7 linked regions of the Mus musculus genome follow. The protein of the gene in region 1 purifies or fractionates together with the protein of each later gene. This does not show direct contact. Links are inferred from orthologs where the notes say so. Each region holds a gene or a part of one and is shown in the gene's direction. Other genes may lie near its edges.

Region 1 (4,564 bases):
TATAATAATAAATAAATAAAATCTTAAAGAAAGAAAGAGAGAAAGAAAGAAAACAGAGACATAATCCACCAAAGTCCCCAGTTCTGGGAAAGTCTCTAGATGCATTCATCTCGCCTTTTGGCTTCTGTAGTTCTGTTGCTGTTTCTGCTAACTGGAGCATGTCGACCCAGGACGCGAATTTTGCGCTTAAAACCTCGCCCCGAGAAAGGCTTGATACTACACAGGGATCCTGAACACCCAGTGTAGTCACAGGGTGGCTAATAAAGACTTTCTCTTGGTAGATACCCCACAGCAAAGACACCGGACACACAGGTGGTACACAGATACACTTCAAGAGAAACATCTATGTAATAAAATACAAATGAAAATGTAATATTTCAGTTAACAAAAACCCAACAAAAATCCAGGTAATCAGAACAATTAACTCGGTGGTGGATGCCAGCCTAGGTTACATAAAATCTTGCCCCACCTGTCTCCTCTCTCACCCCTAACCCTCCACCCCAATGGTATAAACTGGTAATCCTAACTACTCAGAAGCTAAGGCAATGGAATTAAAAGTTCTTGGCCAGTTGGAGCATTTAAAATAAGACCCTGTTCCAAATAAAAACCAGAAAGGAAGCAAAATGGCTGGGAACATAGGTCAGTTGGGACGCCCTGGACTAGTCACGTTCAACTGTCAATCTTGCAAAACCCAGAAAGTTTCTGTTGTCCAGGCTACGGTGAGGTATGTCTACAATGCCAGGAATCAGGTGGCCAAGGACAGCGCTGGGTTCCAGGTCAGCCAGGGTTACTTACATAGATTCCCTGTTTGTTAATTCATAATGTTCAGTTTACTCCGTAGGGGAGGGGAGCGGGGGGGGGGGGATGGGAGTTGGTTCCCCATGGGGAAGACACGTAGGGACTCCGGAAGTTTTGAAAGGGTGTCAGGTTGTCGTGTGTCATGTCCCATGCTCCACTCCCGTCCCTCTTTCCAGTTTTGCTTCTTGGAACAACAGATGCCTTACAAAGGCCAGGGCATTTATACTTCTAGAACTGAGAACAAGGCCTTACAGAGTTGGCACAAGCTAACGACATTACATGGGATGCTCAAGTTTGATCAGTATACATCTGTGGTACCAAAACATCCTTTGCAAATTTGGGGACATGCTTAGAGTTACACGGTTTATCTGACACTCAAGTTTGGAGGGGGGGAGCGTACTGTTTTTTATCCAGCAACTCCTTCAAGACTTGACTTAACTGATCGGATGGTCTTCTCCCACCTGTACCATGGCGGGAAAACAACTGTACTTGCTTCCAAAGGCATACATAAAGACCCCGGGGCCCGGTGAGCCCTTATTTTATACGTTTGCTCGGGCACAGCCCGGGTGATCCTTGCAATCCCGGCCCTGAGCGGGTCAAACGCTCGCCGCCCGGGTCCTAGGTGGTCCGCACCTGCGCGCCCCGGCCAGCCTCTTCCGGGTCAGGTGACCGCGCACGCCCACGTGACCCGGCCCGAGTGCGGGCGCTGGAAGGCGGAAGTGGAGCGGAGTTAGGCGCCGCTGGTGTGGCCGCGGCAGGTAGGTGGCGCGGGGGCACTGGGGGGCTCGGCAGCGAGCGGGCGGCGCGGGGCAGCCAGGGGGCGGCGGGCGGCGCGAGGGGCCGGGGGCGGCGCGGGGCGGGCGCCGGGGGGCGGCGGCTTCCTGTGGGAGGGGCCTGGCGCGCGGTTCCGGCCTCCGAGGAGGGATGTCCCGGCTCGCGCCCGGGCGGGGTGGGCGCGGGGCCCGGCGGGAGTCGCCCGCTGGTGGCGCTTCCGGAAGGAGACCCCCAGCCCCGGGTGCCTGCGGTGCGGAGGAGCCGTGTCTGTCTGGGAAGGGGGCCCGACCTCAGCCGGGGAAGACTCATTTGCTCCCTGGAAGGGGCTGCCTGGGAGTGGGCGTCTGGCTTGTAGGGACAGGGAGAAAAAAATCTGGACGATGCGGCCTGGACCCCATTCCAAGAGTCTTTTTTCCTTCCGTCCTCTTTAAAAAGGATGGCGATCCGGGACTTTGATACCGGTTCTGTTCAGTTCTTTAAACTTCAGGAGGGATCCCTGAGTCTTGATCGTCTGACTCTGGTCACACCCACTTTGCCCTGTTTGGGTAGGGTTTCCACTTGTTGGGAACCTTGCCCATCAGATCGTCTTTCTTTGAGATGCTCCCGGATCGGGTCATCTTGGAGGCCACCAAAAAAAAAAAAAAAAAAAAAAAAAAAAAGACGTGTAGGTGCTTTGCTGTGATCATAACAAGACTTTTAACCTACACTGTTGTTGGCGACCTGGGCCGGCGTTACCTCAGCAACGCATTGACTGCTGAAGTCATGGACAGTTGAAAGTCTGCCCATACCGATTTGAGACCTCTCAAGCTTAAATTATGCAGCTTCCTTTACCATGTGACTGCTTATCTTGACCAGCTGTGACTAGGTGGGGTGACTGAGAAGTTTCTCTTGTGTTCCTTAGAACTGTGACCTAGATCGTAGTTTTTGAGGTTAAAAATACCCATCTTAAGATTCTTCATCCTCTAGGCCTAGGCCTGAAGATGGCTCCAAGTTCCAAGCCAGCCTAAATAAACAAACAGGCCACCCTCTTTTCCCTTCACTTTTGCTAAGGTTTGCAGAAGTGAAGCAAAGTTTATGAATGCAACGAAGGTCAGGGTTCAAATGGGACATTGACAGGAGCCAGAATCACAGGTCGCTAGGGGGGAAAAAGCACTTTGCATTAATATATTAGGAGTTGAAGACTTGGGGGGTATATTATAAGCATTTAAAAGTTAATTTTTGTAGCAGTCTCGAGAAGTCATTCACACTTTATAGATAACAAGCTAAGAGAATTGACTTAAAATAAAAGATGTATTTTTATTTGTGTGTATGTTCCTGTGTGTATGTGCCCACCAAGGACAGACAGAGCATTGGGTCCTTTGGAGCTAGAGATACAGGTGGTTGTGAGCCTCTGGATTTGCATGCTGGGAACTGACCTTTGGTCCCGTGGAAGAGCAGTGAGTGCTTTCGCCTGCATCTCTTTAGTCTCAGCCTGCCTGACATCCTCATTTTGTTTTTCTTCCTTGTTTACTGTCTTCCTGCTAGGACTGTAAATCATTCAAGGGCAGTGATCTTATTTTACCTGACTTCTTTGGCTACTAGCCCCAGGCCTGGTATGTTAGGAGTACTTGGTCAGTGTTTGAGAAGTAAATGAGTTTTTAAAGGTCACACTGCTCGGTGTATGTGGAGAACAAGGGGTTAGAGCATAAGTTTCCCGTCCCTTTCTCTGTTTAGTGTTACTGGTCTATGGAAAGCCAGAACCATGAGGAGAAGGCTTCAGTTGGCTTGTCAGTCTCTTAATTTTTTGTTGTTGTTGAACATTGCACCTTCCCACTTCCCTTCTTTTTGTAATTTTTTATTTTATTTTTTTCCTTTTGAGACAGGCTCTCAGTAAGTTGCCTGGGGTGGCCTCAAACTCCTGTAGCTCAGGCAGGCCTTGAACTTGTGATCCTTCTGCCTCCAACACAACAGTAGTTAGGATTTGAGGCCAATACCACCAGGTCTATCTTAGTCTTTCATTTAGTGACTACATCCCCATCTGCAAAGAACTGATACCAGATTCTCATTTATTTTTATTTTGGTTATTTATTTGAGACAAAAGTTTTACTGTGTAGACCTGGCTGGCCTAGAACTCATAAAGATCCAGCTGTTTCTACCTCCCAAGTGCTGGGATTAAAGCTGTGCGCTATTTACTATGCTCAACCTCTCTCCCTGTCCGGTCCAGCCAGTCCCCTCCCCTCCCTTCTCCCCCCTCCCCTCCCTTTCTCTCTGAGACAGGGTCTTTTAGCTTTTTGATAGAAGGTAGGTTTTAGCCCAGGCTGGCCTCAAACTGGTTATGTTGTGGAGGAACTTACGATAGATTCTCTACCTTCCAAGACCTGGGGTCGCAGGCCTTCATTCACCATTGTGCCTGGCTCAGCGTCTCGTCTCATTCATTTCCAGATCTCTGAAGGTTGCATTGCTTCATTCACAGATGAAGAACTGAGGCTTACTGAAGTCCTGATATTAGATTCTGGAACTAGTAAATAAATGCAAGAGTTGGCTCTCTCCTTCTATGGGTCCTGGGAACTGAGTTCCAGTTGTCAGGCTTGCTGGCAGTCACCTTTACCCAATGAGCCACTTTCTCTATAACCTAGGTCTGTTCTTCTTAGACCTATTACTTTTAATTCATAGAAGCGATAAAAAGTTTCTTTTTTTTTTTTTTTTTTTTTTTTAAAGTACAACTTCCATTTTATTTTTCCAGGGTAGTTTTCCTTCTGTCCTTACAAAACGGCCTCTTTACATGGGCTTTGGTGGAGGTCGAGGTGCAGCGCCAGCAGGTCTGAATCGTGGTGGGGGTGTTCGGTCCTTCCGGGCTTCGCGGGATCGATTCCTAACAACCTTGCTATGGATGGCACAGCTCACGCAATAATGCAGCTTGACATAGAGCTTGGGAAGCACGTAGGCGTCGAAGACGCTTGCTTCAGATATGTCCCTGACAGCAGCGGCTTCTACAATGTTCCGAATGACAAAC
Region 2 (2,996 bases), on another chromosome or scaffold:
CAAACTATCTCTGACTCCACCTTGGCTTTTCCCTAGCATTCAGCTTGCTGGGACTGATAGCTCTATGGCCTGTTGCGTTTCTTCCTCCCAGTACATTAGTACACTAAAATTAGCATCAGATCCAAGTGCTGTGCCAGAGGAATGACCTGTGAGTTGTCTCTGGACTTTTTTTCCCCCTCCTTTTTCGAGACAGGGTTTCTCTGTAGCCTTGACTGTCCTGGAACTCACTCTGTAGACCAGGCTGGCCACAGAAATCCTCCTGCCTCTGCCTCTCAAGTGCTGGGACTAAAGGTGTGCGCCACCACAGCCCAACGACTTTTTAAAAAAAAAAACAAAAAAAACCTCGAAACATTTTTAGGTTCAACCCTCAGCTTGAATTGTGTTGCCTTGACAGAATAGTAATTATGATACCAATTATGCCTACCCATATATCGTGGGCAGAGAGGAAGGACCTGCTATGGGCGGTACAGAAGTGTGGGTGGTACAGAAGGTGAATCAGATGAGCTGTGTAGCCTGCCAGCAGTTGGAGTAAAGTCTTGTGTGTGGAAAAGTCCACTGCACATCTGAATTTACGTGGACCTTTTCAAGTATAAATTTCTATAAGACTTCAGCATGCAGCATTAATGTTTTGGCTCTTTTTGTGCCATTTTGGTGTGTCCTTCAAATCTAGAAAACATGATTTAGTCTAGAGAAGAAAGTCAGTGGAAGATGTCAGCACCACATTGGTGATTTCTAACAAAGGCAGGTGGTTCACTGCATACGCGACACTTCGTGTGTCTATTAATGGCTGCTGTAGTGCCAAGCTGGTTTCTCAGTGTCTTGTGTGGAGGTGAGCTGTTTTGATTGCAGCTGGGAACTGCAGCAGGCTGACAGCTCTCGGAAACATTGCCCCATGTCTTGACAGGACACTAATGTCAGCTGCTTGTGTTGCCAGAGAGACAGTGGGAGCCAATGTTCCTTTATTTCCGGTCCTGCCACATATCTAAGGGGAGCTGTGGATGTGTAACTTGGCCTTTGTGTTTGTTTTAAAGGAGATGCAGGCAAAGCTCGCAGCACAGAAACTGGCCGAGAGACTGAATATTAAAATGCAGAGCTACAATCCAGAAGGGGAGTCTTCAGGGAGATACCGAGAAGTGAGGGACGAAGCTGATGCCCAGTCCTCGGATGAGTGCTGAAGACAGGGCTGGGACACCCCGAGAGCTGGCTGCAGAGCTCTCATTGGCTCATCGAACTTCCTAACAAGTATCAAGACCAGCGTCAGACCTTGTTGAGGGACAGCAGGTTTTTAAGTTACACAAAGGTAGCTACAAAGTAAGAACCCAGTTTGTCTTTCAGAAGACGCTCTTCACAGCTTGCACAGTTTAATATGTGAACCTTGTATTTGGCCGTATTGTGTTACAGTTTTGCAGTATGTTGTGCATTGGTCTGATATTTTAGTGTGAGTAGAGCACACGTTTTCTTTAGCTGCATTTTCCTTATCTGTACTCTTATCAGATAGTGCTGCTTACACCCTTTCTGGTGAAATACTTTGTTACCCCAGGCACCTAAAGTGAATTAGGAAGGCCTGGTTCCCTCGCTCAAGAAATGAAGTGTAAAGAATGGTCCACGTGCCTGCATGGACATGTTCCTGAGATGCTGGATGTGAAACACTGTGGAAGACACTCAGAAATGTTACAGCAAGTGCATTGGCTGATCCTGTCTCTCTGGGGTGACTGCTGTCTTCCTAGGATGAGGACAAGGAGCGCTGAAGAGGTGCTGGGCGGGGGAGGGTCTTCTGAGCTGGTGTGGGGAGCTGCTCCTGGCCTCCCTTGGCTTGAACTCATTGCTGTCTCGATGATAGGTCCCTGTACAGGGCGTTCACGTTTGGTAAGGAAACCGATGTTTTTCTAAGAGTTACAGTTGACTTGTGAGTACATTGCTTTTTTCATTTTTAAACCCAAAGAGGTGTTTATAGGCTGCAGAAACCTCAGTCATGTATGTACACATTTGTGTTGTTTAAAATGATTATATGATCGTTTTGAGCAAAGATAACAGTATGTTATCAAAAGCCTTTGTCTATTACGTGGAACTTGTAAAGAAGAAATAAAATACCAATCAGAGCAGCTCCCCGAGCTCATGGCGATGTGTTCTTGGTACTTGTTTGAGTTTCCGTTCTTTAAAAGCAGTGTTCATACATGAAGTTGGACTGAAAACACATTTAGATTAGACACATACTGGGAAGGGCTTGATTCCATAGTGGATGCTTCTAGCTGTCAGCACTTTCCACATCTCTCCCATGAAGAAAAGGTTGCTGTAAGAACAGTATGGAACCTGTGGTTTTAAAACTGCTAATAGGTGATTTCAAAACACATTGTTTTATATTCCTTATCTGGAATGAACTAGTGCTTCTAGAAGGCTGTAAAGGAGAGACCACACTCAAGCATGCAGTCGCAGTCAGTCCCCCTTGAGCTGACCACTTAGTCTGTCAATAGTCGAGTGTACTCTGATCTGCTTTCTGTGTAGCCATTTTATATGTATTATCAGTTTGCTTCATGTTTTGCAAACATTTCCTGTGTTAAATGTTTTATATCTCAACCATCTCAACCACAATATGCATTTTATGGCTGCTCTATAGCTTTTAAACAGTTGGATATCTTATGAAATGATTATATAACCAGTGCTTGGTGATGTGCGCAACACCTTGGACGTTCATTACATCTTGCCAGTCCCCAGAGCTGTTCTAGAAATGAACTTATGTTGTTCTTTTCTGTGAAGCTGGGGGTTGAACCTAGGGCTTAACACAGGCTGAGCAGTGCTCTACCACTGAGCTACATCACCAGCATCAGTTGACCTGATTTTTGAGACAAGGTTTCACTAAGATGCCCAGGTTAGCTTTGACCTTGCTTTTCTGCTTCAAGGCTTATAGGCCTTAGCCATTAGACACACTTGAGAAGTGAAATTTCTAAGTAAAATTGCAGAGTTTTTGAGGGGCTTGGTGTATGTTACTCACTACAGAG
Region 3 (4,481 bases), on another chromosome or scaffold:
TGTAGAAGAACACTCAGAAGCCAGTTATTAACAGACTTGCTCTGTGGGCACAGAGATCTTTCTTTCTTGTTTTGAGGTAGGGTCTTGCTATGTAGTCTAGGCCAGCCTCGAACTTGTGATTTTTCCTGTCTCTGCCTCCAGAGTTGGCATGAGCCATTTTGATAGGATAAGGCCTGGAAGTTTTGTGTCCCTTGCCTGTACAGTGAAGTAATTTAATGATATTTTGGGTGACAAGGACTTCAGGGTCCTTGAAAGGACTGGTCTTAAGATTTCAGGAAGAGAACAGATGCCAAGACATGCAAAGCACCTTAAAAATATAGGCAACTCCTTTCACTTCACAATTACTAAACCCAAGGATCAGGGGTAGGGGGCTGGGATCTTCCTGAGTTAACCACTGGGCCAGCAACTCCGCGGGGCCTAATACAGGTTTCCTTGCCCGGCCGAGTGCCTTTTCCATTACACTGGCTGCGCCTCAGTAACCCCACCTCCGAAAGTGCTAACGCAGTTCCCTCCCAGTGCCTACCCAGGCGGGGTGGGGCCCCCTCCGTGGCATGGAACAAACCGGGAAAACCACATATTCCAACTTCCAGCACACAAAGGCTGGTTGGCCGTGGGGGCGGGGTGGGAGGACCGGAGCTAAGACTCACTACTCAGAGATCCTAGGATTCTGAGGAGAGCTTCTAGATTGCCTTCTCAAGGAGGCCACCCTACTTTGTCCCGTGTCTCCTGGGCGGTGGCGGCATGGGGGCATCCTGCTTGGAGACCTCCCTCAAATAAATGGCCTGTTCTAGCTCCAGTGTCCCACCCCTTAGCTGCCCACGGAAATCTTGGAGGGACGGTCTTTTCCTTTCCTCTTTCCCCTCCGCCTCCTAAGCGTCACACAGTTTGGTTGATTTGGGTCATCGCCCCCTCTCCACTTCCAGTCTATCTCACTCCGGGCACTTTCCTTTAGTCCACCGTCCCACACCTTGGTAGGGAAAACGCGCTCCAAAGCTAGCCCATTAAAAGTGCACGACTTCTGCCCGGCCGGCCGAAGGAGCTCCCGCAGCCTGGCATTCCTCGGATTCCAGCGCTGTGACGTCCCTGGGGACCGTGCGCCCGCAGCGGGGGAGCCCGGGCTCCTCTTTTCAGCGCAGGGCGCGCGTCCCCGAGGCTGGCGCGCGCCCTCCCCGGACGCATTCCTGGCCCGCCCAGCGAGCGCCCCGCGCGCTCCCCGCCTCCTGGCCCCCAGCACTGCGGAGCAGAGCCCGGGGCGGGGGAGCGCGGCCAGCGGCGCCTGCTCGTCCCCTCCCACCCGGCCCCTTCCTCCGCCCTCCCCGGCCGCTCGCGCTTCCTGGCGCTCGGGCTCTCCGGAGGCTCAAGTTCTGCACAACTTCTCCCGGCTGCCCAGCGCCTCGGCCGCGGGCCCGGCCAGCTAGCTGCGCTCCTCGGCTCAGCCGTCTCGTCCACAGGGCAGGTCCTCGTGGAGCATCTGGTACCAAGTGGCCGCTGGCGGTCCCTCTCTGCGCCCCACCTCTCTGATCGCCCGGGTCCCCTCGCGTGGGACGGCGGTGCTTAGGTTCTTGGCCCTTTCTCCTCCCCGGTGCGCCCGGCGCGCCGGCCGCTGCGTAACCCTCCCTGCGCCCCTCCTCTGCCAGCTCCTGGAAGCCAGTGGTGGGGACCCAGACTCCCTGATGGTCAACGTGCGGCACCCGGGGCACTCCCGGGCCATGTAAGCAGGTAAGCTAGCCGGTCGGGAGCAGATACTCCAGGCAGAGCCAACTTCGTTCGCCGCCGGGGACGCCGGGATGCGCGGTGGGGGCGCCAGGTGGCCGGCCGCCGGTTCTCTTCGCTAGCAGTGCTCGCTCGTCCGGGATTGAGCTGGAAGGGGAGCGCGGTCTGGGACTCGGATTCAGCCAAAACATCGCCTCCAGCTCCTGTTGTGTTTGCGAGCAGGGGAACAGAGCGCAGAGCCCAAAGCTTGTCCTGTGCCTCTGTGGGCACTGGGTTTGTGAGGGGGTTCTTGTGCCCTCTCCCCAATACCTCAGCCTTGATACCAAACTCCTGAGTCTCTTGGCCCCGGCTTGGGTGATCCTTACAGGCGCGCAGGGAAAAATACCTTCATCTCAGACCAATCTCCAACTCGAACTTTGCAAGTTCTGAGAGTTAACAGCCCCTTTCCCACGTGACGCCACATCTAGTTTTAAATCTTTGGGAATGGTTTTCCTATCTTTTCTGGGAGGAATTGATGTGCGCTGTCACTATCCCGCTTTGCCCTTCTTCCTTTGGTTTGAGGAGATATTGGGGTCTTGAGTTTAGTTGGTTCACGGATTAGCTGGGTCCTACTTAGGCGAGTTCAGACTGCTGCTGAATGGGTGTATGTATGGTCAATTTCCAAAATGCGTTAATTTCTTGAAATGGATTTCCTCCCTCATTAATTCAACAAACTCAGTGGTGAGTCTTCCCCTGTGCTAAGAGATCACATTACAAGAGTCTGCAGCACCCTGCAGGCAGCCGTGGGCGGATGGGGACATGTGCTGTGAGAGAGGGGTTCTGAGACTCTTGGGAAGGCCAGGCCCTGGAGGAAAGGGGTTACCTTCGTTGAGGGAATGATGCTCAACTTAGGAGTGGTTGAGGGACCGCATTCCAGAGGAGGGAACAGCTTGGGCAAAGTGAGGGGCGCGGAGAGGGGCGTGCAGAAAGTCTTGGAGAGCGACCTGGTGGCTGGCTGGGCATGTATGGGCAGGTTGGTGCAATGTTGCTGGCATAGTTAGCCCCCACCCCAGCAGAAACGAAACCGGAAGTCTTTTACCCACTTCCCGTGACCAGGAGTAGCTTCCAAGGATCAAAAGCGTTCCCTTGGACATGTTCCCTCCCCTGATGTGTTTCCCACAGGGTTCTGTAGGGTGACAGGTGTTTAATTGTCGTTAATTTACCCATCCTTGGTTTTGTTAAAGTATCCCCGTGAGGACCATCCCACCCCACTACAGAACCTTGTCCTGAGAGCTTTTGACATGGGGAGAGCAGTTTGTGTCTTACAAGTGGAGTTTCCTCTTTGGTGCTGGGGACAGAACCTGGTCCAGGCCTCGTGCTCACCAGTCACCAGTGCTCATCCCTTTCCCAGATCCCTAACAGCTTTCTTCCCTAGCAGCACTCTTACCCGTGTGACTGTGTGGCTGGCACGTGGAGAATCAGTTGAAGGATGTGGCTATGTATCTCAGAATCACTGCTTTTAAAAGGAGTTTCCACCAGATAGCGGTGGCACACGCCTTTAATCCCAGCACTTGAGAGGCAGGCGGATTTCTGAGTTCGAGGCCAGCTGGGTCTACAGAGTGAGTTCCAGGACAGCCAGGGCAGGCTACACAGAGAAACCCTGTCTCGAAAAACTAAAAGAAAGAAGGAAAGAAACAAACAAACAAACAAAGAAGTTTCTGAGTTTCCGCAGCATCTTGAGGTTTTCTTTGCTCTCTCTGAACCTGTAGAAACCGAAATTTTCCATCCTTGTAACTCAGGGTCCAGCACACACTGCCTGCAGAGCTCCTCAGTGCAGGAGAGGTTGTCCACAGTCACCTCTCTGGGGGACTTGTTCACTGGGCTGAAGTGCATATTCCTAGTGGTCGGTCCTGGCTAAGACGCAAGGTCTCCAGCCTTCATGTATCTTAAGCTGCCGGAGCGGTTCCTTGCAATTTAGGGTGTTTATTCAGGACTCTCTCTCAGCCCAACTCCGATCCCAAGAGCAAGCATGTCCACGGTGGAAGATCTGGAATGTGTGTGGGACCTGCATGAGAGAAATGTGTGTCAACAGGCCGCTGCTTTGTGCTGCTTGGTCCCGGGTCTCCTCGAGGCGTTCTTCCTTGGTGTGTACAAACTCATAGCACCGCAGTTACTCAAGCTGGTGTGAGTTATGTTCCACGGTCAGCTGGAAGAGAATCACCTTAGGGAGACGTTTAATGTTGGCACACCACAAAGAATTCAGAGGCAATCAGGGCTTCCAGACGAGTTCTTCCTTGCCCCAGGGATGAGCAGAAGCCCACGGCTGTGAGGATTTCCCCAGTGTATGCTTTTTTTACTGGATTCCTTTCCCAATGGGGGATACAAGTATTGGCCTCTTCCTAGCAAATTGAGCTCACCTGGGTTCCAGAGTCTTGTCTGTTTTTGAAGGAGAATTTGGCCACATTCTTGCTTTTGAACTTTTCATTGCTTGGTTACCTAGTGCTGTGTGGGTTTCAAATCCATTCTGAGCCTCAGAACTTTGCTAGGCACTTGGTTGGAGGTGAGGCAGGAGGAGAAGAGATAAGATGAAATACTTAATTAGCCAATTAAGGAAGGAGAGAAACAGACACCAAAGCTTCAGTAGGGAGGAAGTTAGTGTCTGAACTGAGTTTTTGATCTCCCGAACTGATGAAATGGATTTAATTTGCCCTCCTCCTAGGGAAGGTTGATTAAGTGGTCCCAGGAGTGGGTGGGGCCAATAGCTGCAACTTTGTAGTGAGTGTGTATAT
Region 4 (4,619 bases), on another chromosome or scaffold:
CATCTGCACATGTATGAAGCAAAGTGAGAGATGGTCTCCAGGTTTCCCTCCCCGGATCCCCAGGAGATCTCCATAGTAAGAACAGTTATGGGGAAAGGGCTTGATTATCTTAAAAAGAACAGTTGGGCCAGATCGAGTAGGGCCACAGATCTCAGGGTACAAGAAGCAGATGTTTGGGTTAAAAGGTACCTTTTGCTGGTCTGCCATAGTCTTCTAATTGTTAGAGAAACATGCTCTGTGCCGAGAGAGAGAGAGAGAGAGAGAGAGAGAGAGAGAGAGAGAGAGAGAGAGAGAGAAAAGAAGAAGAAGAAGGAGGAGGAGGAGGAGGAGGAGGAAGAAGAAGACAAAGACGAAGATGAAGAAGAAAAGGAGAAGAAGAAGAAAAGGAAAAGAAGAAAAGAAAAAGAAAAGAAAGAAAAAGGAGAAGAAAAAGGAGAAAAAGAGAAAGAAAAAGAAGGAAGAAGAAAGAAAAAGAAGAAGGAAGAAGAAAGAAGGAGAAAGAAGGAGGGAGGAGAGGAGAGGAGAGGAGAGAGAGGTGTCACAGGGTATTATGATGCGCCACAAAAACTGATTCTTTACCATTATCTTAGGAATATCTGAGTATTATTAGCACACACACAAAAATCCTACCTCACTTCATTATTTTCTTCTGTCCTTCCCATTTCCTATTTCTAAAGGCCTCTTTCTCTGTATGTCATCAGAATATGTTTGAAGAATTTGTAAATCTCTTAGAAACAAGGGGGCAAAAGAAAGAGGAGGGTAAAGCCCTATTCAGGATTTTCAGAGTAATGAAACTGTTCAGTATGATATATAATAGTTAGGGTATATTTGTCAGAACTCCTACAACGTACAATGTTCAAAATGAACTCCAATGCAATCTATTATGGATTCTAAGTGATTGACAATGGTACGCTGTCAAATGGGTTTAACATTTGTCACAAATGAGCTGTTCTACTGAGGAAGGCTACGCGTGCTCAGAAGCAAGACTGTCTTTTTTTTTTCCTTCCTCGAAATTTTACTGTGACTTTAAAGCTGATTTTATATATGTATATGTGGTCTTTGTATATGTATATGTCCCTGGTATTTGGTAATTCATTACCTCATTAATGATTTCGAATGAGCGCCTTTTTAGGCCTGTCCTGAGATGGATCTCTTTGAGATGCTCTAGGCTGGGGACTAATAAAAGGGCGACCTGTCCTCAGGTGCTCTAGGAATGCAGCGCCTCCACCCTCCGCAGTGACGATGCATCCTCTCGCCCCACAGTGAAACCTGCCCTCACAGGAAAATCCAATCAAGTGGGACGATTTTTTTTTTTTTTTTCTTTTCCGCTTCGGTTGCCACCGCCCACTGTCGACTAGATGACAACCTAGAGGGCTCCCGGGGACTTGCCTGACTCTTCCATCTCCTCCCACCTAGGGACACCTCCGGAGCCGGGCGGCGGATGGGACGCCGGCGGAGCCAGAGAGCATGCGCGTCCGCGCCGAGCATGCTCAGTAGCGCGCGCGGCTCCCCGGAGCTCCGGCGCCGATCGGCGAGCGACGCGGAGCTCTCCGCTGGAGCCGAGGGAGCGACAGGAAGTGAAGCGGCCCCGCCAGGCGACCTCGGCGGCAGAACCCGAGGCGGCGGAAGAGGCTCTGCGGCGGCGGCGGCGACGACGTCGACCCGGGAGGCCGAGGGAGCTGAGCGCCGAGGGGACACGCCCGCTCGGAAGCCGGACCCCGAGGCGGGCAGGATGGATCACCACCAGCTGGGGACTGGTCGCTACCAGGTGGTGAGTGCGCGGGCCCCGGGGAGGACGCTGGCCTCGGGGCGTCCCGGCGGGCCCCTTCCCGCCCAGCCCACCTCTCCGCCAGCCCCCGGCCGCAGTCGACGGCCAGCGCCCCGCCGAGCCCCCTCCCCGGCGACGCTCCCCGACTCACCCCGGCTGGCTTTCTTTCCCCTCCTTCTTCCCTGACTCACACACCCGTGAGCAGTGAGTGGTGTCCCCCTGCGGCGGGGCAGGGTGCAGGTACCTGTCAGGGAGTCGACCCGACCGGTGGCCTGAATTGTGTGAGGTTATAGAGTGGGGTGCAGCAGGGCTACAACCGGCGTGAGGGGTAGAGAAGAGCTGTGATGGGGAAGGTGCCTCTCTTCTAGTTAACCTTGTCATTTTGCCCTTTTCCATTGTGTTAGTATTACAGTGATCGTTTTTTTTTTCTTTTTTTTTTAAATCTGTTCCTGCTTTGCCTGTGTTCGTGTGTGCAGCGCTTTATTAGAAAAAAAAATCAAACCTTGTTTGAAATGAAATAGTTTTCATTTAATACAGAGTTTTAAAATCACTCAAGTATGTAAACCACCAGCTATGCTTAATGAGTGAAATGCGCCCTGTATTTTCTTTGTCAGAATCTCTGTATTTTACACCCTGTGTGTTTTAGTGATGTCATTGGAGATAAATATTGTGAATAGCATTGTCAGCAATATTTACTTTATTGCGTTTTCACTTATAAACTTTTAGATAATTTAGTGGAACATAGTTACGGGGGGAGAGAAGAAAAGCATTTGTGCATATTGTTGCTATTGCGTGTCGGGTTTATAAGATTGCACAGTTAGTCCTATATGTCATCTTTTCTGTCTGTCTGCATGTGTGTTGTGCCTTTTGACAAATCTGAAGGATTGTGGTAGAGACTTAAATTTTCATTTTTTCTTTGGTAAGAATTCTCTGTCATTTGTGTCTATTTGCTATAGCATGGCCAGGTGATTTAGATTATGAACTTTCTGAAAATTATCAACATTTTCAGAATGGCTTAGGAAATAGAAATCTTGCCAGTTTATTGAAGGTGCTTTTCAAGTTGTCAGCTTTGGGTAACTTTATATTTTTTAAAAGACATTGTTCCCTTTCTAAGTGTTTGCAAAAAAAAAAAAAGCCACGTAATTTTATCATTGATACTTGTTTTACTTCTCAAATCTTACCCACTTCTGTTTGTGTCTCTAAGTGATATAATTTGATTTGAATTCTTTCTTTGGGTTGCTTTTCCTTATTGGGCTCAACCATGGATGATACTTAAAATAGTGTTAATAGTTTTAATTTATTATATTGTCTCTTTTGCTTTTGATGGAGGTAACTAGTTGAGACTATTTTTTTCTCTCAAAATCTCTTCAGATAATGTTGGAGTTTACTTTTGTCTAAACTTTGAAAGAAGGTATAAAATACTACATTTTTTTCCCTTCAAAACTGAAGCTGTGTCCTATAAAGACTTTGAGTGGGTGGAGCCACTCTGTAAGGGCAGAGGGCAGAAATCAGTCATTCTAAATAAATTATTTCTTTTAGATAGAATATTATTTTTTATGGGGAGAAGCATTGGAGAATTTTATTATAGTCTAAATTTGTATTTTCATTCTTTTACTTTTGTGGTTACATAGTAAGTTCGTGTGTTTAGGATGATAAACTGCCCTCCTCCCTTTTTTTTTTGCGAGTAGCTTTGTCTGGGAAAACGGCATAGATACAACTGAGTTTGAGTTTTGCGTAGACTCGGTAGCTGGGGTTCAGTCTGGAAGCTTAGCTTATGTAATGGGCATGCCTGTTTTATGGCTACCTTTAGGTCAGGCCTTATTTTGAAACTCTAGAATGATTAATAAACTGGAGCAGTAAACAACTTTGTTAGCGATGATGAGGTCAGGAGATAGGGAACTGTACATAGGGGTGAGAAACACTGTGCTGTGTGGATTTACTCTTATTTAAAGAGCTAAAACTCAGCTCTGCATACTGGTGATGCCTGGTGATCAGAATGGCTTACTGTCTTTAATCCACGTATACAGTTTATCCAGGACATTTTCTTTTCTTTAGGGTATCCAAAGGGTTTATTCTTTTATTATTGCTTTAGCCAACATATTAAGTGTTGGATTTTATAAGTCCTTTTTGTACTTTCGTGTCCTACATATGCATACGTATGTATATATAAATTTAAATCTACATTTCCTCTTAGGATAGAAAACATGCCTTTTTCTCTCTGAATCTGGCTTATTTCACTTAACATATTGTGTCCCTTCCCACCCCAGTTCCATCTGTTTTCCTGTTTCCTAAGAATGTTCATTCTTTTCAGCTGAATAAAACATCCTCATGTATCTATACATTTTCTTTGTCCATTTATCTGTGGCTGGGCCTCCAGGCTGTGTCCACATCTGGATGACTATTATTTTTAGCCAGACTGGCCTGTGCACATTCTGGATAAGCATTCAACCATCGAGTAGCCAAGGAGCTCATGATCCTCCTGCCTCAGCTTCCCACTAGGCTAACAGCCACACATCACCATCCCTGGCTATAATAATGTCCCCCCACCCCATTCCCTATTCATTGCTAGAAATCCACAACAATAGACAACATGTACAGCTACAATGTCTTGCTAATTTTCTAATTTCAGAAAAAAAAAAAGATGAGGCATGGTGTTTACTTTCAGTGTGTTTTGGGAGATTGAGTTGTGCTTGATAGGAAAAGAGCGATGCGCCACACTGCCTAGCTAACTTGCTCTGCATCTGCCACTGCAGCTTGCATTCTGCTTTGCTGGTATCTACTTTGAAGGCTCATGGACCCACAACAAGGTGACTACTAAGGTTTAAAAGGTATTTTTTCAATAACTAAATCG
Region 5 (3,972 bases), on another chromosome or scaffold:
TTTGAATCATTAAATAGTATTTATTTCTTCCTTAATTATTCACAAAATAATTCTTCACTACTTACAGTTTTCATTACGTGAGACACTGGTACTTTTGTATTTTAGTGGAACCTTGGTAAAAGGCAATGGAGAATTTTTTGAAAAGTCTCTCCAAAGTCATTATTCTAAGCTTGATTTTGAGTCAATGTCAAGTACAGTGGTGGGAAATAATACAAAGGATTCCTGTGTACCTTCACCAAATTTTCTGCAATGGTAATATACTCCATAGTGAAGTTCAGTAGCATAGTCAGGTGTTGGCATATCCAAAAACGTTTTTTTTTTTTATTTTTTTGAGACAGGGTTTCTCTGTATAGCCCTGGCTGTCCTGGAAGTCACTTTTGTAGACCAGGCTAGCCTCGAACTCAGAAACCTGCCTGCCTCTGCCTCCCAAGTGCTGGGACTAAAGGTGTGTGCCACCACTGCCTGGCTAGATATTTTCTTTATTTACATTTAAAATGTTATCCCCTTTCCTGGTTTCCCCTCTGAAAACCCCCTATTCCCTCCCCACTCCCCCTGATCCCCAATCCACCCACTCCTGCTTCCTGGCCCTGGCATTCCCTCACACTGTGGCATCGAGCCTTCACAGGACCAAGGGCCTCTCCTCCCATTGATGACCAACTAGGCCATCTTCTGCTACATATGCAGCTGGAGCCATGAGTCCCACCATGTGTTTTCTTTGGTTGGTGGTTTAGTCCCAGGGAGCTCTGGGGGTACTGGTTAGTTCATATTGATGTTCCTCCTATGGGGTCTTATACTTCTAACCTTCCTGCCTTTGCCTTTGATTGCTGGGATCACAGATGTGCATTCTTGAGGAGTAAGGCCCTCTAGTAGGTGGAGCTGGGGAGCAAGCTGGGGAGGAAGTGGAAATCATCTTCTCTTAAGAGAAAGGTAGGGGCCTAGAAACACAGAAGTGGATGCTCACAGTCAGCTATTGGATGGATCACAGGACCCCCAATGGAGGAGCTAGAGAAAGTACCCAAGGAGCTAAAGGGATCTGCAACCCTATAGGTAGAACAACATTATGAACTACCCAGTACCCCTGAGCTCTTGACTCTAGCTGCATATGTATCAAAAGATGGCCTAGTCGGCCATCACTGGAAAGAGAGGCCCATTGGACTTGCAAACTTTATATGCCCCAGTACAGGGGAACACCAGGGCCAAAAAGTGGGAGTGGGTGGGTAGGGGAGTTGGGGGGGAGTGTAATGTGGACTTTTTGGATAGCATTGGAAATGTAAATGAGGAAAATACCTAATAAAAAAATTAATTCTAAAAAAAAAAGAGAGAGAGAGAAAGGTAGGCTGGGGCTGGAGAGATGGCTCAGAGGTTAAGAGTGCTGACTGCTCTTCCCAAGGTCCTGAGTTCAATTCCCAGCAACCACATGGTGTCTCATAACCATTCATAATGAGATCTGATGCCCTCTTCTGGGATGTCTAAAGACAAGTAGTGTACTTATGGATAATAAATAAATACTTCTTAACGAAAAGAAAAGAAAAGGAAAGGGGAAAAGGGGGAAAGGGAAAGGAGGAGGCAGGCTGTTGCTTTGGGATCATGTGGCGGAAGCACTCGGTTTCCTTAAGCAGAAAGATGTTTGAGAGACCCCCGGGGGCCTCACAGAAGGTGACTTGTTTAGATTGAATACCTTTTAGGAAGTCAGTCACAGAGTTCCCATCCTCCCACCCCAGTCGGAGTGCTCCCCTCCCCATCTCCAACTTGTAATCAGGCTTGGGAGTTAACTGGCTTCTTGGTCATCAAGTGAAGAGATAGCAGTTGGCTTCATTTCAGCTGACTTCTTGATATAGGCACTACATAGCCAAGTGGTTCACACTGTGACCAGCTCAGAGCAGGAAGTGTCCAGAATTGTGGCCCAGCAGTCAAGCCTGCTTCCTTCAGTAGCCAATGTCCCTGGTTTCTGATGTGTTCCTCCATAAGCAACTGAGTGTACACATAAAGTCTGTGCAGTGGACTTCTGTAGCTGTATAGCCCTCTTTCCCCACTCTCCCAAGAGCTGCCTGGCAAGCACACCTGATTCTTACAGGAAGTTCTATGCACTAAGTTTTTCACTTAATGCTATAAAGAGCATTCCCTCCAAGCTGGGTGTGGCACCGAATGCCTTTAATTCCAACACTCACGAGGCAGTGGCAGGCAGATCTCTGTGCTCTAAGACAGCCTGGTCTAAGACCTTGCCTCAAAAAAAAAAAAAAAAAAAAAAAAAAAAAAAGATGAAAAAACAAAAACCCCGGATTTCTGAGTTCGAGGTCAGCCTGGTCTACAGAGTGAGTTCCAGGATGGCCAGGCTACACAGAGAAACCCTGTCTGGAAAAAAAAAAACAAAAAAATACAAAAAAAAGAGCTCCCCTCCCTCTTGTGTCTGAAGTGTTCTACTGTGTGATATCTCTGCAGTAATGCTCAGTCAGCTGTCTGGGTCTCTCACTCTCCACCTTTGAGGCAGGGTCTCTGTCTAGTCAGGGTTTCTATTCCTGCACAAACATCATGACCAAGAAGCAAGTTAGGGAGGAAAGGGTTTATTCAGCTTACACTTCCATACTGATGTTTATCACCAAGGAAGTCGGGACTGGAACTCAAGCAGGTCAGGAAGCAGGAGCTGATGCAGAAGCCATGGAGGGATGTTCTTTACTGGCTTGCTTCCTCTGGCTTGCTCAGCCTGCTCTCTTATAGAACCCAAGACTACCAGCCCAGAGACGGTCCCATCCACAAGGGGCCTTTCCCCCTTGATCACTAATTGAGAAAATGCCTTCCAGTTGGATCTCATGGAGGCATTTCCTCAACTAAAGCTCCTTTCTCTGTGAACCCTGGACATAATTCCCCCCCGCCCCCAGCAGCCCTCCTGTCTCTGCCCACAGCACTGCAGTTGCAGAGGTGCGGCCAGGCCCAGCTTTTCCATGGATGCCAGAGGCTCACACTCTGGTCCTTAGGATGGTGCGTCAAGCACGCTGAGTCACTGAGTCGTTGTCCCAGCCCCATGTGTGAGGGGTGTATCTATATATACCTGTTGATTAGTTTTCCAAGTGGATACTCACTCTGGTCCCTGCCTGGCTCTGCAGACATCCGGGAGCTGATCGAGGTGGACGATGTGATGGAGGACGAGTCTCTGCGGTTCGGCCCCAACGGAGGCCTGGTCTTCTGCATGGAGTACTTTGCCAATAACTTTGACTGGCTGGAGAACTGCCTGGGCCACGTCGAGGACGATTACATCCTTTTTGACTGTCCAGGTACAGCAACAACTTGAGTGTACAATCTGCCTGGAGCTGTGACACTGTGTCCTCGTGGGGACGTAGTGAACAAGTACCTGCAGAACCCAGTTGGATCCGGTTTATCCCTTGGGTTGATCAAGTGCTTACTGAGATCAACCTTAAGAGTAAGGGGCCATAGCTTGTGGCTCAGTGGGAAGCAAGTGCGATCAGCAGTTGCCCCATGATTTGTATTTTTGGCAGGTGACCCACAGAGGGAACAGGAGGCAACTGGTCAGTTGTCCGTTAAAATAGGCTATGGGACAACATGGAGTCAGTTGTGCAGGCAAAGGGCCTCAGACAAGAAGCTATGAGCAGACTGAGGCAGGGGTGGCTATTTGACCAGAGGTGCTGTGAGGTGAAATTGGGAAGGGACAGGTGACGTGTGAGCTGTGGACCGGAGCCAGCCTTGTTCATGTGTGTGTCACGAGTGTGGATTCCCAAGCCACCCCTTTATGCTCGTATCACTGGTTTTCCATGCTGAGGGGTGAGTGCTGGGCTACTTCATGCCAGCGAGACAATCTACCACAGGGTCACCTCCCCAGCCCAGCACTGGCAAAAAGAAATGTAGAAATATAGTCTGCTTGCTGGGCGCCGTGGCGCATGCCTGTAATCCCAGCACTTGGGAGGCAGAGGCAGGCGGATTTGCAGGCGGATTTCTGAGTTCGAGGCCAGCCTGGTCTAC
Region 6 (2,911 bases), on another chromosome or scaffold:
ACAACTAAAAATAACTGTAGCAAACTTATATTGAAATAACTGTAAAAGTATAGAAATACAAAAGAAAAGTCACTTTTCCAGATTATTTAGTTTTTTTTTTTTTTTTGGAAGAACATTTAACCTCAGAGACCCCTGTTCCTTTGCTCAGTTTTGGGTTCCAGAGCTGTCAGGTCCTGAAAAAGCAAGAGGCTTGCTCTGCCTCGTCTTACATTTTATGGGTAAAGCCATTGAGGTTTGGGTGAGGGCACCTGTGACATGGCTTCTAGAGGACCACACTAAACAAACCAACAAACAACAAAATGATTTTGGATGTTGTAGTTAGGGTTTCACTGCTGTGAAGAGACACAGTGACCACAGCAACTCTTATAAAAGGACAACATTTAATGGGGGCTGGCTTACAGGTTCAGAGGTTCATTCCATTTTCATTACTGTGGGAAGCATGGCAGCGTCCAAGCAGGCATGGTGCTGGAGGAGCTGAGAGTTCTACATCTTGTTCTGGAGGCAGCTAGGAGCAGACTGTCTCCCAGGCAGCTATGAAAAAGGCCTCAAAGCCCAAAGTGACACACTTTCTCCAACAAGGCCACACCCACTCCAAAAAGGCCATACCTCCTAATAGTGCCACTCCCTGGGTCAAGTATATTCAAACCACCACACTGGACACTATTCTTTTATGTTTTACATAGGAAATGATGTGAGGGGTGTGTGTGAAAACTGGTGTGAACACAGAGCAAGCTTGAACTTCCCTCGGCCTGCCCCATTGTCAGTCACAGTTGTACTGAGAATCTCCTCAGACCTTTTCCTTTCTCCTTCCAGATCATGTGTGCCCCACGGGGCAGGGATAGGTTTACTACCCCATCTTTCATCCAGAGGGATCCATTCAGTCGTTTCCAGCCCACCTACCCCTATGTGCAGCACGAGATTGACTTGCCTCCCACCATCTCCCTGTCAGACGGGGAGGAGCCGCCTCCTTACCAAGGACCCTGCACGCTACAGCTCCGGGACCCAGAGCAGCAGATGGAACTCAACCGAGAGTCCGTGAGGGCCCCGCCCAATCGAACCGTTTTTGACAGTGACTTGATAGACATTTCTATGTACAACGGGGGACCATGCCCACCAAGCAGCCACTCGGGCATCAGCGCAGCTACCTGTAGCAGTAACGGAAGAATGGAGGGGCCACCCCCGACCTACAGCGAGGTGATGGGCCACTACCCAGGCACCTCGTTCTTCCATCACCAGCACAGCAACACACACAGGGGCAGCAGACCACAGTTTCAGCCGAACAACTCAGAGGGCACAATAGTACCCATCAAGGGCAAAGACAGGAAGCCGGGGGACCTGGTCTGATTCCCTCTAGAGTGCACTTTTCAAGGAGAGAGAAACCGCGGCAGGGAGAGAGAGGCCCGCTGGCCCCACTGCCACAGTGTTGTCCAGCTTTACTGGTACAGCCAAGTAAAACCAAATGTGCAAACACGGTCTTCGTTTCTGCTTCCTTTCACGGGAATTGCATGCAAACAAGATGGAAACACGATTCAAACTTCCATCCAGTTTGACCACAGACAGTGTTCACCTTGGGGCAGGGGGTGGATGGAGACAAGGGCTAGAGATGGTATGATCTTGGCTAAGTGGTGTGCAGAGAAAACTAAAAAAGGCTGCTTTGAAGACATCATGAAAGTAAGACCCACAGAGGTATTTTTGACATATTTGATTCCAAAAGGAGACTGCGGATAAATGAGGCCACAGTGGCCTGTTTTATAATTAACTGAATAAAGAGGGAAGAATTATTATATATTATCATGGGGAAGAATCAGCCAGTTTGCTTTTTCTCCAAAGGTGTGAAACTTATTTTGTTTTAAAAATATGAGTCAAAACTCCTGTTTGGTGTGCCAAGGTTTTAAAGTTGGAGAAGTTAGACGAGTGAGAGGAAGTGATTTGTGTTGTGATGGTATGTTTTAAGAGTTGCACTATCTCAATGTTTAACATATGGATGAGGGAACCGTGTCGTGTGAAGTTCTATATGTTGTCTTGTCACCTATGGATGGCTACCATGCCCAAGGAAACACTCTTGAGTGTCCACAGAGTCATACAAGAAAGGTATTTGGCAATGTACCCTGGTGTTTACCAAGTTAATGTACATTTTTAAAAGTGGTTATGTTGCAAGAATTTGCAGCCAGAAGCCGTGTACTACTGAGGTATTTGGAGAGGTTGGTGAAAAGAGATGCTTACACTGTGTACGGAGTGTCACGCACAGCTAGTCTTTTTCCCAGCAGGGTCAGCAGTTCAGACTTTTTTTCCACAGTAGCATGAAATATATTCAGATACATACCCTATTTTATGCAATAAATCGTCTAAAATGCAAGCTGGCTATTTTGTGTACTGCCGAACTATGGGTCGCAGCGAGTCCCATTGCACTTCTCCACTTTCCGAGGCAGCTCTGTTGAGTTCTGCGAGGGTAGTCTGTTTAGCACCTGGCACCAGCAGTTGTCCCCAAGGCCACTTGGCTTTCTAAGTGCCGTGCTGGTAATGGTTCTTTATGTTTAATAGGCCCCTGGACGTGATGAGAGGAACGAGTTTGGCATAATAAGCCACTGCATCTCTCCAGTGTTGCATGTTAGGGGAATCCGGCACAGACCTGCCAGCGCTCATGCCAAAGACTTCTGCATAGCCAGTCTTCGTACCATGGTCAGTGAGAGGATAGAGGTGGTGGGTCAGGGTGTGACTCAGGACAAGGCAGTGGCAGGCAAAGTTGCAGCTGGAAAATGGCTTCTTAGTATTTGAAGTCAGTTTATGATTTCGAACATTTTTTATGTAGAATAAACAACAACAACTTTATTATGCAGATGTAAGAGCTGGCTTCCTAAACTGCACGGAGGCAGGCTCCAGCTTTCTGGAAGTCTGGCCTCTGCATGCAACA
Region 7 (4,765 bases), about 13 Mb from region 1:
GTTGAGGTGGACCGGATCAAATGGGACGCTCCCTGTCCCCAGCCTGCGTGACCTCCTTGAGGCTCTTGTGATGGTTTGGCTGTTGGCTGTTCTGCAAAGCACTCTTCTGTGTCTTGCAGGTTTAATCCCCCTCACTAGTGATGACATTGTGGACAAGCTGCAGTACTCCCGGGTATGTGTGCTGGTGGGAAGACTGGGGCCACGGGGAGGGGCCGGGGGATTGTTCTCCCTGGAGTCTTCCGGGGTGTCTCCCTTCCAGTTGTTGTGGCTGATGGTGGAGATGATGTCTTAATAGTGTGGTCCTTGGTTCTGATGGAGCATCGGATTGCTCTCAGCACATCCAGGCGTCATCAGTGAGCCTCAAAAGGGAACACACGGGTGGGTGTGGTGGCGCACGCCTTTGATCCCAGAGCTTGGAAAGCAGAGGCAGGCGGCTCTGTGTGAGTTCCAGGACAGCCAGGGCTGTACAGAGAAACCCTGTCTCAAAACAACAAAAAGAGTCCGGGAAACATACCCACTTTTACGTACGTACAGGTCTGCCTCTGTGTCTGAGCAGGTGGGCTAAGGTGAAAAGAGGGCATCAGAGCCCCCGGAACTAGTTACAGGCAGTTGTGAGCTACTGGATTCAGGTTCTGGGAACTGAGCAGGAGGTACTTCTAACAGCTGAGCCATCTCTCCAGCCTCCATTTATTCTTTTCGGTTTTGTTTTCGTTTTTAAGAGAGTCTCACTATGTTGTTCTGGCTGGCCTTGAAGTGAAATCTGCCTGCTCTGCCTCCTGCATGCTGTGGTTATTAAAGGCATGTGTTCCCATGCCTGTCTGAGAAATGTTAATAAAACACCGTTTATTTTTTCCTCTGTAGTTAGTAGATGTTAATGCTTTACTACATTTGCCTGATTTTCCTCTAACCTTTTAGATAATAAGTTGCACGTGCTCTACCCTTCCCTTCTACATACTTGAGCGCATGTCTGTGCTGTAATCCTCTATGGCTAGGTAATCCCTCCCCAAATAATCTAAAACTTGAAAGGTGTTTCGGTTTTTTGGGGTGGTTTGTTTGTTTGTTTGTTTTCCTGTTTTTCCCTTCTTTGTATTTTCAGTTAATTGCCAAGCTGGTCTGCATAAACAGGACTATATAGTCCCATACAACCTTGGTCCCTTGAGATGACCTCTCTAGGCACTGCTATATTAGGAGTGGGCCCCCTAGTGGTCAGCTGTAGCAGTGAACATGGAAAGGAAGTGTAGTTAGTTATCCTGAGGTGAACCAGATGTCACAGCCCAGAAGGGCTGGGACCGTGGTCACCCCTTTTCACCAAGAAGAATCTGGAAAGAGCTGGATAGGAGAAGCAGAGAGTCCAGTCTCCTCATCCTAGCTGTCCTCCTGCCTCAGGACTGCACATGTGAAGAGTTCTGCCCTGAGTGTTCTGTGGAGTTCACTCTCGATGTGAGGTGCAATGAAGACCAGACGCGCCATGTCACCTCCCGAGATCTCATCTCCAACAGCCCCCGGGTTATTCCGGTTAGTGTCTTTGCCCTTCTCTGCCTGCCTCCAAGTGGGACAGATTGGAGTGGGTCTTTATGAGGCAGATGCTAACCTACCCTGTGACCATCTACGTTAACTGCCACCTAGACGTGCTGGTCCTGAGTTCCTGAACAGAGCAGTATTAGTGCCATGTGCCCTATGTTGTTCAAAGACCCCATTAAAGGCCTCTGGGTTCTTTGGACAGCTCTGCCATCTCCTTCTTCTTCTCAGCCTCCTTTCCCCGGATTGACGGATTATAGGCTGCATTTGCTGAGAGACAGTTGCCAGAGGTGACTGAGAGGTGAGAGGCTAATGCATACTTGTTTGGGCTTCCTACAGGTGACATCTCGGAACCGGGATAACGACCCTAATGACTATGTGGAGCAGGATGGTAAGGGGGTGGGGCGGGGGGGTGAATGGGGGTGAGGGGGTGGGGCAGGGTGGTGAGGGGGTTGGGCAAGGGTGGTGAGGGGGTGGGGTAGCATGATAAGAGGTGGGGCAGTCAAGCGGGTGGCCAGAAGATGCAGAGGTCAGATGTGCCCCTTTGAGTTGCCTGGTATCTTTCATTCATCTTTGGACCCTTTGCCAAGATGTGGATTGTCTTCATGCAGTACTACAGGTCACAAGTTGGAGAACTTGCCTCTTTTTGTTCTGGCTCACTCTCACCTCTCCCTGCAGACATCCTTATTGTCAAGCTGAGGAAGGGGCAGGAGCTGAGACTTCGAGCCTATGCCAAGAAGGGCTTTGGCAAGGAACATGCCAAGTGGAACCCTACTGCGGGGGTAGCTTTTGAATACGATCCAGACAACGCACTTAGGCATACAGTGTATCCCAAGCCTGAGGAATGGTATGTTCCTGGGGGGAAGGGGAAGCAGCAGTGGCTGTAGTGAGCGATAGGTGGGTAGTGCTCTGAGAGCCTTGCTACAAGCAGAAGTAGCCCCTGTGCCTCACCTGTGCTTGCCCTCAGGCCCAAGAGTGAGTATTCCGAGCTGGATGAGGATGAGTCGCAGGCTCCCTACGACCCCAACGGCAAGCCAGAGAGGTAAGACCCCAGGCCTGCTTGCGACTGTAATTGTAAATAGAGGTGTGGGAGGCTGTTAGGCAGTCACACACCCAAGCTCACCACACCCCACCCCATCCCCCACCCTGTGATAGAAGAGCTAACTGCCAAACTCACATACACATCTTGAGTTGGTCTTCCTTCCTCTCCGGTCACTGTGAGGAAAGGGGCCTTATTAACCCCTGCTGTTTCTGGCCTTCCTGTTTGGGCTCAGGCCAGAGCAAGACTGACCATAGCCCTCCCCTGAAGTGCTGAAGGGCTGTAGCCAGCATCGTGTTTGGTTTTTCCTGCTGTCTCTGGTGTAGAAATGCACATAGAGTCATCTTAGGGTTTGTACAGCAGTGCTCTTTAGAAGTAGCTGGAGCTTCCTCGGGGAGCTGTGAAGTGGATCTGGACCATTGCGCATAAGGAGTCTCAGGAAAAGGGAAGACCCTGTCCTGAGCTCAGGGCCTCATAGGAATGGAATCAAGTCTCAGAGGACAGAAGGGAAGTCTGCCCGAAGCCGGAGCTTTGCCTCACGAGAGCTCTCACCCCACTCTCGTCTCTCAGGTTTTACTACAATGTGGAGTCGTGTGGCTCACTGCGCCCTGAAACCATTGTCCTCTCAGCCCTGTCGGGGCTAAAGAAGAAGCTGAGTGATTTACAGACTCAGTTAAGCCATGAGATCCAGAGTGACGTGCTCACCATAAACTAGCCACGGCTCGCCTGCCTCCGAAGACTAGGTTCACGGTGGCTGGACTTCAGGCCTCGGGAGCCCTTGTAGTTTCTGGGCTATGCACTGCACAGTCTGCCCCCTGGAAGGCCATCGGGGAGATGGCCAGGGTCCCACTGGTGTTAGACATGGCGGGTTTTATTAAGCGTTGAGCATCCCGGGCCCTACTGTAGTGGTTTTCAGGCAGCATGGGGGGAAACACACACCAGCACGGAAAAGAAGGAATATTTATTGATCAACAGTAGTTGTCTTTTTAAAAGTTTTTATTTTTGGCAATAAAGAGCACAACATAATCTCCTTCATGCGTCATCGTGCCACTAACTGAGCCAGTTTTGCCTCCCTCCCAAAGGGTTGGGCCCATTTCTTGTACAAACTAGCTGACCTCTGGGTGGTCATTTCCTGGGTCACAGAGTTGGGCTGGCTGTGCCACCTCCCTGGCTCTAGGGCACCCCCTGGGAGGGGCCCCTTATCATTCTGCCACACATGTGAACAGTGGTTATTTACAAGGTCTGTTCCCACAAATCAGAACCCTAAAGTATTAAAAAACAGAAACACGCAACAAAAGGTTTGATGTGAATAGAAAGATAGCCCTTCTGCACGGTAGTCAATAAATACCAGCACTAGAAAATCAATTGCTTTAATTGCATTTCAGCAGGGAGCCTCAGCACCGTGTGGGGAGATAGGAAAGTCTTAGTTTTGGAATCTGGCCTGGGGTGGCTGGCCTGGGCAAGGGACTCCCCCTGCTGGAGCTTTATACCCCTGGTCAGTGAAGGAGAGCAGCAAGGTGCTCCCCACAGCAGTCCTGCTGCAGTCCTCCCTCCGGGCTGGCCCCAACTGTCCTCTGCTGCCGAGGTAACGGGAGCCCTGCCCAAAGACATCTTCAGCCTACTGAGCAGGAAGGGGCCAGTGCAGAAAGTGCATTTAAAAACCAGATGCCGCCTCTGCTAAACACTCCCAAGTGCAAGGCTGCCACACGGTACAGTGAAGTTTAGGACTCTTCCTGTGTCACTGTAGGCCCAGAGGACAGAGCTACCTGCTGTCCTGGCCCTTGGGCTTCTGAGGAAGAGCCAGCAGACAGCACCAGTCTGATTGTCCCCCTCCTCTGACCCTGGCAGCTCAGGCCATCTTGGCAGCAGGAGAGTTGTATCACTGAGGACAGGCACTGCCACCCTCATACTCAAAAACAGCCTTGACCATGCCTGGTCGTGGAATTAAAAATGGGTATGTGTTGGTGGGGAGGGATAGAGGGAAGCCTCGTTTATACAGTATATGTTATAAGCCATATATATTAAAACCATTAACAGTGTATAGTCCCACGGTGGCTCTTAGCCCCTCATGCTCAGGTGGTGTGGCCAGCCATGTGCTGAGGTCCAGCCTCACCCTTGAGGGCAAGGAGGGATAGCTTGCTCTCCTCTGGCTCTTGGCCACCAGCTCCTCGAGGCTGTCCATGGGCTGCGACAGTGAGCCTTTCAACA

What was found.
Region 2: the proteins of Wwp2 (region 1) and Polr2m purify together in Homo sapiens (affinity purification with mass spectrometry, with the first as the bait; 3 studies listed by BioGRID). This does not show direct contact. The link is inferred for Mus musculus from reciprocal best matches to the Homo sapiens genes WWP2 and POLR2M.
Region 3: the proteins of Wwp2 (region 1) and Ptpn14 purify together in Homo sapiens (affinity purification with mass spectrometry; 3 studies listed by BioGRID). This does not show direct contact. The link is inferred for Mus musculus from reciprocal best matches to the Homo sapiens genes WWP2 and PTPN14.
Region 4: the proteins of Wwp2 (region 1) and Ndfip2 purify together in Homo sapiens (affinity purification with western blotting; 3 studies listed by BioGRID and IntAct, with this or other methods). This does not show direct contact. The link is inferred for Mus musculus from reciprocal best matches to the Homo sapiens genes WWP2 and NDFIP2.
Region 5: the proteins of Wwp2 (region 1) and Gpn3 purify together in Homo sapiens (affinity purification with mass spectrometry; 3 studies listed by BioGRID and IntAct, with this or other methods). This does not show direct contact. The link is inferred for Mus musculus from reciprocal best matches to the Homo sapiens genes WWP2 and GPN3.
Region 6: the proteins of Wwp2 (region 1) and Ldlrad4 purify together in Homo sapiens (affinity purification with mass spectrometry; 3 studies listed by BioGRID and IntAct, counting the BioPlex papers as one, with this or other methods). This does not show direct contact. The link is inferred for Mus musculus from reciprocal best matches to the Homo sapiens genes WWP2 and LDLRAD4.
Region 7: the proteins of Wwp2 (region 1) and Polr2c purify together in Homo sapiens (affinity purification with mass spectrometry; 3 studies listed by BioGRID and IntAct, with this or other methods). This does not show direct contact. The link is inferred for Mus musculus from reciprocal best matches to the Homo sapiens genes WWP2 and POLR2C.

The regions. Positions count from the first base shown.
Region 1 is NC_000074.6:107,434,886-107,439,449, forward strand, and holds the start of Wwp2 (NEDD4-like E3 ubiquitin-protein ligase WWP2), read left to right. Parts: upstream 1-1,484; 5' UTR 1,485-1,556; intron 1,557-4,264; exon of another isoform or gene 4,265-4,564. UniProt on the Homo sapiens protein: E3 ubiquitin-protein ligase which accepts ubiquitin from an E2 ubiquitin-conjugating enzyme in the form of a thioester and then directly transfers the ubiquitin to targeted substrates.
Region 2 is NC_000075.6:71,477,576-71,480,571, reverse strand, and holds the end of Polr2m (DNA-directed RNA polymerase II subunit GRINL1A), read left to right. Parts: intron 1-1,031; coding exon 1,032-1,175; 3' UTR 1,176-2,135; downstream 2,136-2,996.
Region 3 is NC_000067.6:189,726,946-189,731,426, forward strand, and holds the start of Ptpn14 (tyrosine-protein phosphatase non-receptor type 14), read left to right. Parts: upstream 1-1,322; 5' UTR 1,323-1,719; intron 1,720-4,481. UniProt on the Homo sapiens protein: Protein tyrosine phosphatase which may play a role in the regulation of lymphangiogenesis, cell-cell adhesion, cell-matrix adhesion, cell migration, cell growth and also regulates TGF-beta gene expression, thereby modulating epithelial-mesenchymal transition.
Region 4 is NC_000080.6:105,257,232-105,261,850, forward strand, and holds the start of Ndfip2 (NEDD4 family-interacting protein 2), read left to right. Parts: upstream 1-1,391; 5' UTR 1,392-1,441; coding exon 1,442-1,771; intron 1,772-4,619. UniProt on the Homo sapiens protein: Activates HECT domain-containing E3 ubiquitin-protein ligases, including ITCH, NEDD4, NEDD4L, SMURF2, WWP1 and WWP2, and consequently modulates the stability of their targets. As a result, may control many cellular processes.
Region 5 is NC_000071.6:122,375,366-122,379,337, forward strand, and holds part of Gpn3 (GPN-loop GTPase 3), read left to right. Parts: intron 1-3,101; coding exon 3,102-3,269; exon of another isoform or gene 3,270-3,346; intron 3,347-3,972. UniProt on the Homo sapiens protein: Small GTPase required for proper localization of RNA polymerase II (RNAPII). May act at an RNAP assembly step prior to nuclear import.
Region 6 is NC_000084.6:68,253,196-68,256,106, forward strand, and holds the end of Ldlrad4 (low-density lipoprotein receptor class A domain-containing protein 4), read left to right. Parts: intron 1-813; coding exon 814-1,344; 3' UTR 1,345-2,354; downstream 2,355-2,911. UniProt on the Homo sapiens protein: Functions as a negative regulator of TGF-beta signaling and thereby probably plays a role in cell proliferation, differentiation, apoptosis, motility, extracellular matrix production and immunosuppression.
Region 7 is NC_000074.6:94,860,325-94,865,089, forward strand, and holds the end of Polr2c (DNA-directed RNA polymerase II subunit RPB3), read left to right. Parts: intron 1-119; coding exon 120-172; intron 173-1,386; coding exon 1,387-1,515; intron 1,516-1,857; coding exon 1,858-1,909; intron 1,910-2,196; coding exon 2,197-2,365; intron 2,366-2,485; coding exon 2,486-2,560; intron 2,561-3,127; coding exon 3,128-3,272; 3' UTR 3,273-3,918; downstream 3,919-4,765. UniProt on the Homo sapiens protein: Core component of RNA polymerase II (Pol II), a DNA-dependent RNA polymerase which synthesizes mRNA precursors and many functional non-coding RNAs using the four ribonucleoside triphosphates as substrates.